Arabidopsis thaliana: one gene and its partner. The protein of the gene in region 1 interacts with the protein of each later gene in a biochemical or structural test. Each region holds a gene or a part of one and is shown on either strand. Other genes may lie near its edges.

Evidence for each region.
Region 2: the proteins of ACD11 (region 1) and BPA1 form a complex in vitro, tested with the Arabidopsis thaliana proteins (one study listed by BioGRID).

Annotation. Positions count from the first base shown.
Region 1 is NC_003071.7:14,627,811-14,631,738, forward strand, and holds the start of ACD11 (Glycolipid transfer protein (GLTP) family protein), read left to right. Parts: upstream 1-2,175; 5' UTR 2,176-2,614; coding exon 2,615-2,806; intron 2,807-3,027; coding exon 3,028-3,200; intron 3,201-3,397; coding exon 3,398-3,546; intron 3,547-3,862; coding exon 3,863-3,928. Other genes in the region: AIR9 (Outer arm dynein light chain 1 protein), read right to left, coding at 1-507, 837-999. UniProt on the Arabidopsis thaliana protein: Exhibits selective intermembrane transfer of ceramide-1-phosphate (C1P) and phytoceramide-1-phosphate. Does not transport ceramide (Cer) or GalCer, suggesting a requirement for phosphate in the headgroup for functionality.
Region 2 is NC_003076.8:5,533,598-5,537,525, reverse strand, and holds the start of BPA1 (binding partner of acd11 1), read right to left. Parts: upstream 1,658-3,928; 5' UTR 1,485-1,657; coding exon 1,479-1,484; exon of another isoform or gene 772-1,478; coding exon 662-771; intron 503-661; coding exon 433-502; intron 210-432; coding exon 135-209; intron 22-134; coding exon 1-21. Other genes in the region: SYP21 (syntaxin of plants 21), read left to right, coding at 2,374-2,582, 2,934-3,027, 3,231-3,367, 3,596-3,670.

The DNA of each region.
Region 1 (3,928 bases):
GCTTACTTAAACTAAACCCAGTTGACTTTGTCAAACTCCGACTACCTGGTGATACGGGGACAGACTTTTTACTCTCGGAAAGGCTTGGTTTGGATACAGTCTTAGCAGAAAGAGAAGACACAGAGCTCTTCCTCAATTCTGGAAGTGATCGTCTTACCGGATCAGTACGTGAGGCAGTAGTACTCACTTGCTTAGGCAGAACCTTAGAGGTACCAGCTAAATTCTCTGTTACTCCTCCAGTACTATTTCTCCTGATAGTCACAGGCGTAGTACCCGAGACCCGTAATGAAGAAGACGCAGTTGGCTTTATTAAATTCGAACTAATAACTGGTTTCTTTTTAGTAGAAGCAGCTCGATTTGACACCACAGACACTGCAGAAACACTCTCTGGGCTTCTGCTTTCATTAGCTATAGTTGCATTGTCCTCTTTCACTGCATCTACATTGGTTTCCACAGTTTCTTCCTCAACCTTAGCTGCTACTTCCTCCATAGTGAAATCAATCCAAACTTATGCAGATACAAAAGAAACTCAAATCAGAAGAGACGCATGATCAAATCATTAACAAAAAAAAGGAAACTTTATTCATTATACACAATCTCTCTACTTTATTTGTTGTATCCAAATTTCTCCGAAGTAAAAATACAGAATCAAATGACCAAGTGGCCCACGCACATTGTTTGGAATGGAACGCGCATGTAACAATTACTCTACTTTATTGGGTCCGGTCATAACAGGATTTACTAATAAAAAAAGTACGGACTTTAGTAGATTGTCTAAATTCAAGAACACAGACAAACAGAGTTTCTGGCTTCTTTCAGCTAACACTGTCGGTTACCTTCTACGATTTTTTGGTCCTTTTGTGAACAACCAATCCGCATTAAGCAGTGTTTATTTTTGAAAAAAATGTGAAATTCTTGTGAGTGAAACAAGCAGACGAAATTGCAGAAAGTGAGAGTTTTTAGCAATGAAGAAATTCGGGGAAAATAAAGTTTCTTCATTTAAGGAAATAAACCAATAGTAAGACAGGACAAGGAAAATAAATACTTACTGCACTGAACAATGAAGTAACCAGTAAAATCAAAAACCCATTTTCACCGTTTCACAATAACTCCGGTGGCGAGAATCCCGGCGACGATTCCGGCCGTTGAGAACTTGTTAAACAGAGCAATAGAGGCTGAAACAGAGAAATGTAGATCTGGATGAAGCAGAGAATAAAAAACGCAGCTCACTGATTGAAGCTTTTTTGAATGGAATCGAACAAAAGTGAAAACGACGATTAAAAATTGAGGGAAAATAGCTGGAGAGAGAGATGTTGGCGAAAGAAAAAGAAAAAAAAGTAAGGAACAGTGTAAACAGTGTGTAGCGGAAGAGTGTGTTGTGTAATATGTTTAACCCAAAATATACACCCCTATATTATACTTTAATTTATGTTTTTCACCCTCTTATTTTTTAAAGTTCCATGCAAGTACCTTACATTTAAAATTATCATGCGATGTCGGAAACTCAATTTTGTTTCTAAGTTTACCCGGTGAAAATGATAAAACGGTTATAAAAGTATGAGACAGTTGTGGATAATTATAGTAGTATAGGGACTATAATGAAAAGTAATTATCCAGAAGAAAAGAGAGGAACATTATAAAAAGAGAATAAATTAGAGAATTTGATGGTGAGAGAGAAAAGTTTGAAAATTTAGAGAATTTTAAATTGGCGGAAACCGTAAAGGCAGAGTTAAATGGCAAGTGGACGTTTTTCGAAAACTGATGAAATTGTTTTTATTTATTTAACCAACGATAAAATGATGTGCTCAAAAAGTCAAGAAAACAGATTCCTTTTTAAAAAAATTTAAATTTTTTGTGTTCTACTTATCCTAAATTATTACTCATAAAAATCTTCAATTAATTTTAAAATAAGCTCCACCTAAGAATCAATTAATGTCACTATCTTTTATAAGTAATCAAAATAATTGCATCCGCCATTCCTTCTACCCAATAATTATTAGTATAACCCACTAAATATTATTATCCCCTACCTATAATTTTGGTACCTTGTTTTAATCAATGAAAAGAATCGAAAAACAAAAATATGTATAGCCAGAGTGGAACATAAATGAAAGTTTGAAAAAAATCACATTTGTTGATGATGATAATCTTTTTAACTAAAGTATCCCAATGAAAGCTTCATATCTTAATTCTTGAACATTATTCATAATTCATCATCATCATCATCTTTTCTTCAAGTAGCTTCAACACAAGTCTATTGCCCAACTACTATCTATAGTTTAAGCATACGTATTTATGTTTCTTCGGTTCAATTGCACAAAACCGAATTTGGTTCGGATTCAATTCTATTATTTCGGTATTCCTACAGGTTATTTCGGTTGGATTCGGTTATTCATTCACACGGTGAGGATAATACTATCCAGATGAAGGATAGGAATGATCTGAACGCCAAACAAAGACAATTAGTGATCAGCGAATCGCCGCCTTTTTGAGTCGTCTTGCAGCAAAGTAGATTCCGCGGCAAATCACAGAACACCAATCGGAATAATCACACAAGAACAAAACTTGTTAATCAGGAGAAGACGACAGAGAGAGAGAAGGAGAGAGATCTTCCATGGCGGATTCGGAAGCAGATAAGCCACTGAGAAAAATCTCAGCCGCTTTCAAAAAACTAGCAATCATCGTGAATTCACCGAATCCGGAAGTTCCTGTAACGCAATTCTCTCACGCTTGCTCTCTGGTCTCGCCTCTCTTTGGTTGCCTTGGAATAGCTTTTAAGTTTGCGGAAATGGACTATGTTGCCAAGGTTTGTTTATGTAGTAGATTTGAATCAAAGTCCGAATCTTTTTCTAGTTGTGTTCACTTTCATGTACTATTGAGTATATTGTGAGATGTTGGAATTGATTTAGTTTCTGTAGTACTCAGACTGAATTTTGCTAATTTGATGGAAATGGATGTTGTGTTTGTTTATCTGGAGGATGAATGTTTTGGAAAATGAAATGTTAAAACTTGTGAATGTGACTATAGGTTGATGATCTTGTGAGGGCGTCGAGTTCGATATCGACATTAGTGGTAATGATGGACAAAGATATTGAGGCAGATTGTGTAAGGAAAGCTGGTAGTCATACGAGAAACCTTTTGAGGGTTAAGCGTGGTCTTGACATGGTCAAAGTTCTCTTTGAACAGATCATAGCTTCCGAGTAAGTGATTCTTCTGAACTCTCTCTTATTTGAGTTCTTGTGAAAATTTTGATCAAATGCATTAGCCGTGCCAGTTTGTAGGATGTGTGATTTAAATATGGACACTGAAGTAAATGAAAAAATGGAGTCCTGTTGTAGTTTTCTTTTATTTTTGGTCAAGATTAGAAGATTGAAATGTAGTTTGATATCTTTTGCAGAGGAGATAACTCCTTGAAGGATCCAGCAACTAAGTCTTATGCTCAAGTGTTTGCTCCCCACCATGGATGGGCTATACGGAAAGCTGTTTCTCTTGGGATGTATGCTCTTCCCACAAGGGCTCACCTACTTAATATGCTCAAAGAGGATGGTGAGTTCATCAACTAGTTAATATGCTCAAAGTGGATGGTGTGTTTGATAAACTAGTAGTTTAAGTAGTCAGATTAGTTTCAAGGTCTTCACAGGATTAGGTAGATATCACGGCAATATTTGGCCTGTATAAGTCCTGGTATCATAAGAGAGAACTCTTTGAGATTCACATTGGTTTTAAGTTCATTTGGCAGTAGGATATTAGATTTTGAATTTTCCAATACTATCTCTGTTTGAGATTTCATAAATCGAGTTTCTTCTTCATTATGTTCGCTGACGATATTGTTTTTTTCATTTATTTATGAATGTTGTTACAGAGGCGGCGGCTAAGATACATATGCAAAGCTATGTCAATTCATCGGCACCATTAATCACGTATCTTG
Region 2 (3,928 bases), on another chromosome or scaffold:
TGCACCGCTGCTCTGTGTTTCCTGAGAAAATTAACACAAATTAACACCTCTACGAAATTACTGCTCTATTGAGTGTTGAGATGAATACTTTTCACTAATCAAAAAGAAGAAAAACAGTATGAAGAAGACATTACAGCATGAGGGGCTGCTGGTGGACTGTAGTTGGGAGCCAACTCAATGATGACTGATTGATCGGCAATACTCGCTCCCTGAAATAACACCCCTTGTTAGTAATGCAAATTGCAAATGGTCCCAAATATTAGTTGTAAGCAAACTAATTTTACTTATAAATACTCAGAGATACTTTGTCTGGACTAGAGAAGTATAACCATATTAAACGAAGGTTTATAGACATGGATTGATTACTAAATTAACAGTGTTATGTAAGAGTTGAATGCTACTACAATAATATTGAGATAAGAGTGAACCCACAGATAAGAGCACAGCAGTCTCTGCTCCTTGAGTTTCTTTAAATGTGACATAAGCACTATGCTCGTTACTGCTAGTTAGAAAAAGAAAACAAAAACAAAGCTCAGAGTCAGTAAGTTTAAGAGAACTGTATCTAAATTTGCTGAGAAAAAGCTTCGGAAGTTAATTGATCAAAAAAAGCTTTAAATGTCAAAATTTTGAAATCAAAGAACAAGGAAACAATATCACTAACCTTTGGATATCGATGCTTTCAACTTCACCAGAGAAAGAGAAAAACTCTTTAATATCATGCTCAGTTGCTCCTGAAGAGAGATTGCCAACTTTTACTGACCTTACCTGTGACTGTCATCATAAAGAATCAAAAGGGAAAGAATCATTAACGAAAACAATAAACAGGTGTTTCATGAGAATGTTTACAGTACAACTACTTTTTGTATCCAAGCATATCTAATCGACCGAAAGTCCCATTTTAATCAAATCAGCTCAAACTCAAAGAAGCCTAGATTTATCACAAGATTATACAATTATGCAAGTAAAGGGATAATATTATAGTGGCTTAGAAGATGACTGTCATCATCTCACTATACAAAAAGAAAACTCGAATGAACCATGAAGGCTACCAATTAAGGAAACTAATCGACAATGTATGGAGGAATCTAAAAGTAAATTGGCTAGCGAGATTCGGTTCCAAATTGAGAATAACACAATCGCGATTTACTACGATAAACGAAAACCAAAACCGAGAAATCAAGGAGATAATAGAGATAATTGCACGAATACAGATCACACAGAGATACAGAATCAATTAATAACGACAATAATAATCATCAAACTCGTCCAAATAGCATTGGAGATATTATGTCGGCAAGTGCAGCAATCAAACAACAGATCATCCAAATTGAAGAAGAAATCAAATCAATAGCCAAAAATATCAATCCTGAGAAAATTTCCCGATAAACAAATGGATCGCAACAATATCTACCAGCAGAGGAAACCTAAACCTTTTCCGCATAAAACAAAATTATACACAAAAAAAAAGTAGAGCATACCGCCATGGATGTTGATCTTCGAAGTCGCGCAGAGAGAGAGATATGTAATTTGTTGCTTTTGTCACGCAGATTCAGAGATTGGCCTGAAAACCGAAACGTACTTCGAGATCGATGATGCGTAGATAGATAGAGAGGGAAGAGTGTATTTTGCTTTATATGACACCTCACACTCAACGTGTGGGTTTGCGTTACGCCCTTTAATCCTATTTTAGTCCCTAATTGTTTCCAACAATTAATATTTTCACTTTTTTAGTATATATTTCTATTTTTTCCCTCTTCAGTTCAAAACAAAAGTTAGGAGTTTCGTAACACAATTATTAAGTTTATGTTTTATTAGAAAAAAATACATAAAAATTTTACTTTTTATCAACAAAAATATATCATTGTTTTTCTATAAAAAGTGGTTTATGTATCAAAGTGATTACTGTAATTATTAATTCAGTCATAAAATATGATAACTTGGTAATTACAAAAAAGTTGGACTTCTCCTTGTTTTTGGCCCAACTCTTCTCTTTTCCTTTTACTAAACTCCAATGTAGCCCAAAATCATTTAACCAATCCTTATCCTGCAAACCCACTCAATTGGTCCGGTTTACTCGAACCGAGTTTCAATTTTACACGGAAGGGCAGGTGAGGTCAACAACGACACGCAGGATTCTTCCCTCGCAATGGCGTGTCACCGCCAAATAATTTATACGTATTAATAAATTCCCTCCACCACCATATTCACGCGGACCACATGAGATTAAATGATTTATACAAATTATAAAACAAAAATTAACATTAAATTTTGGGAAAACTTATAATTCACCTAACTCATTTCCATCATCTTCGTCTTCGTTTGTTCCCCTGAGATAGAGATAAGAGAATTTCGAGAGATTCGAGAGAAGAGACGATGAGTTTCCAAGATCTCGAAGCTGGTACTCGATCTCCGGCGCCGAATCGTTTTACCGGTGGGAGACAACAGAGACCTTCGTCTCGTGGGGATCCATCTCAGGAGGTCGCCGCCGGGATTTTCAGGATCAGCACGGCTGTCAATTCCTTCTTCCGCCTCGTTAATTCGATCGGAACACCTAAAGATACTCTTGAATTACGAGATAAGCTGTCAGTAGCAATTCTTAATCACACTCTTCTTCTCTTTGTTAAATCTCTGTTGATTAGGGTTTTGGTTTTACTTATTGATTTTGGTCGATTTCATTTCAATTTTTAATTGAAAAAGTTTTCTAATTGTTTTGAAGCTAATCCTGCATTATTTTCCCTTAACCGAAGAACAAATTTGAGTTTGCTGATCGATGTGAGACAACATTGCAAATAATGCCTGACAACATTGCAAATAATGAGCTTTTTGTGTGTGTGTGTGTGTGTGTGTGTATTGAGAAATTGTTTTTTTTTTAGATTGGTTTCATCTATTTGTTCTGTGAATTGTTTTAAAGTGTTAGGTTCTTTTGTTGGCAGGCAAAAGACAAGGTTACAGATATCCGAATTGGTGAAGAATACTTCAGCTAAACTTAAGGAAGCTAGCGAAGCCGACCTTCATGGATCAGCTAGTGTAAGCAAATGCTTACTTTTTTGTTTCATTCCCTTACGATGCTATGGAATGTTAGTGTCTAAGAGAACATTTTCTATTGAACCAGTTTTATTTTGGTTTAATTTTGTCAGAATCGTACCATTTTATTCATTTAGTGGGAGAATTGTTTACATGATTGATGATATGTGTATTCTAGTTTTGATGTTATGTTTGTATTCTTGCAGCAAATTAAGAAGATAGCTGATGCTAAACTGGCAAAAGATTTCCAATCAGTTCTCAAAGAGTTTCAGAAAGCTCAGAGACTTGCAGCTGAAAGAGAAATAACATATACTCCTGTGGTCACAAAAGAAATACCTACCAGGTAACCACTTTGACCAGTTATGTTTCAATACCTGTTAAAAAACAGAAGATCATGGTAAATGAATCTCGTTGTTTCCTAAATGAGAAGAAAAAAAGTCTCCGGATTATATACTCGCATGTTATTATTGTTGTTTTGTACAAAAGAATTTTTGAACGTAGGATTGTTCTGATATTTTGTGGAATGTGAGTTTCACTTACACATGCTTCATTGTCATGCCACACCATGCAGTTATAATGCACCTGAACTGGATACTGAATCTTTAAGGATCTCCCAGCAGCAAGCTCTTCTTCTACAATCAAGAAGGTGAGGAGTGTGATTTGATTATATGCTAGCATGTTATTTTACTAATTCATTTGATCAATTATAAGCATAAACCAAATGTTAGTCTAGCATGCATTTTGCTCTCGAGAGTTCAAATTCAAACCATCGTTACACTTGGCACTCACTGTAGCCTGAATTGTTAATAGAAGCCTTAGAATAGGTTAATAAATTTTTCGAAGTTGGTTATGTCCCTGGATGCAGGGAGATGCTTGCTATTCGCTAACTTTTTATATTCTCATT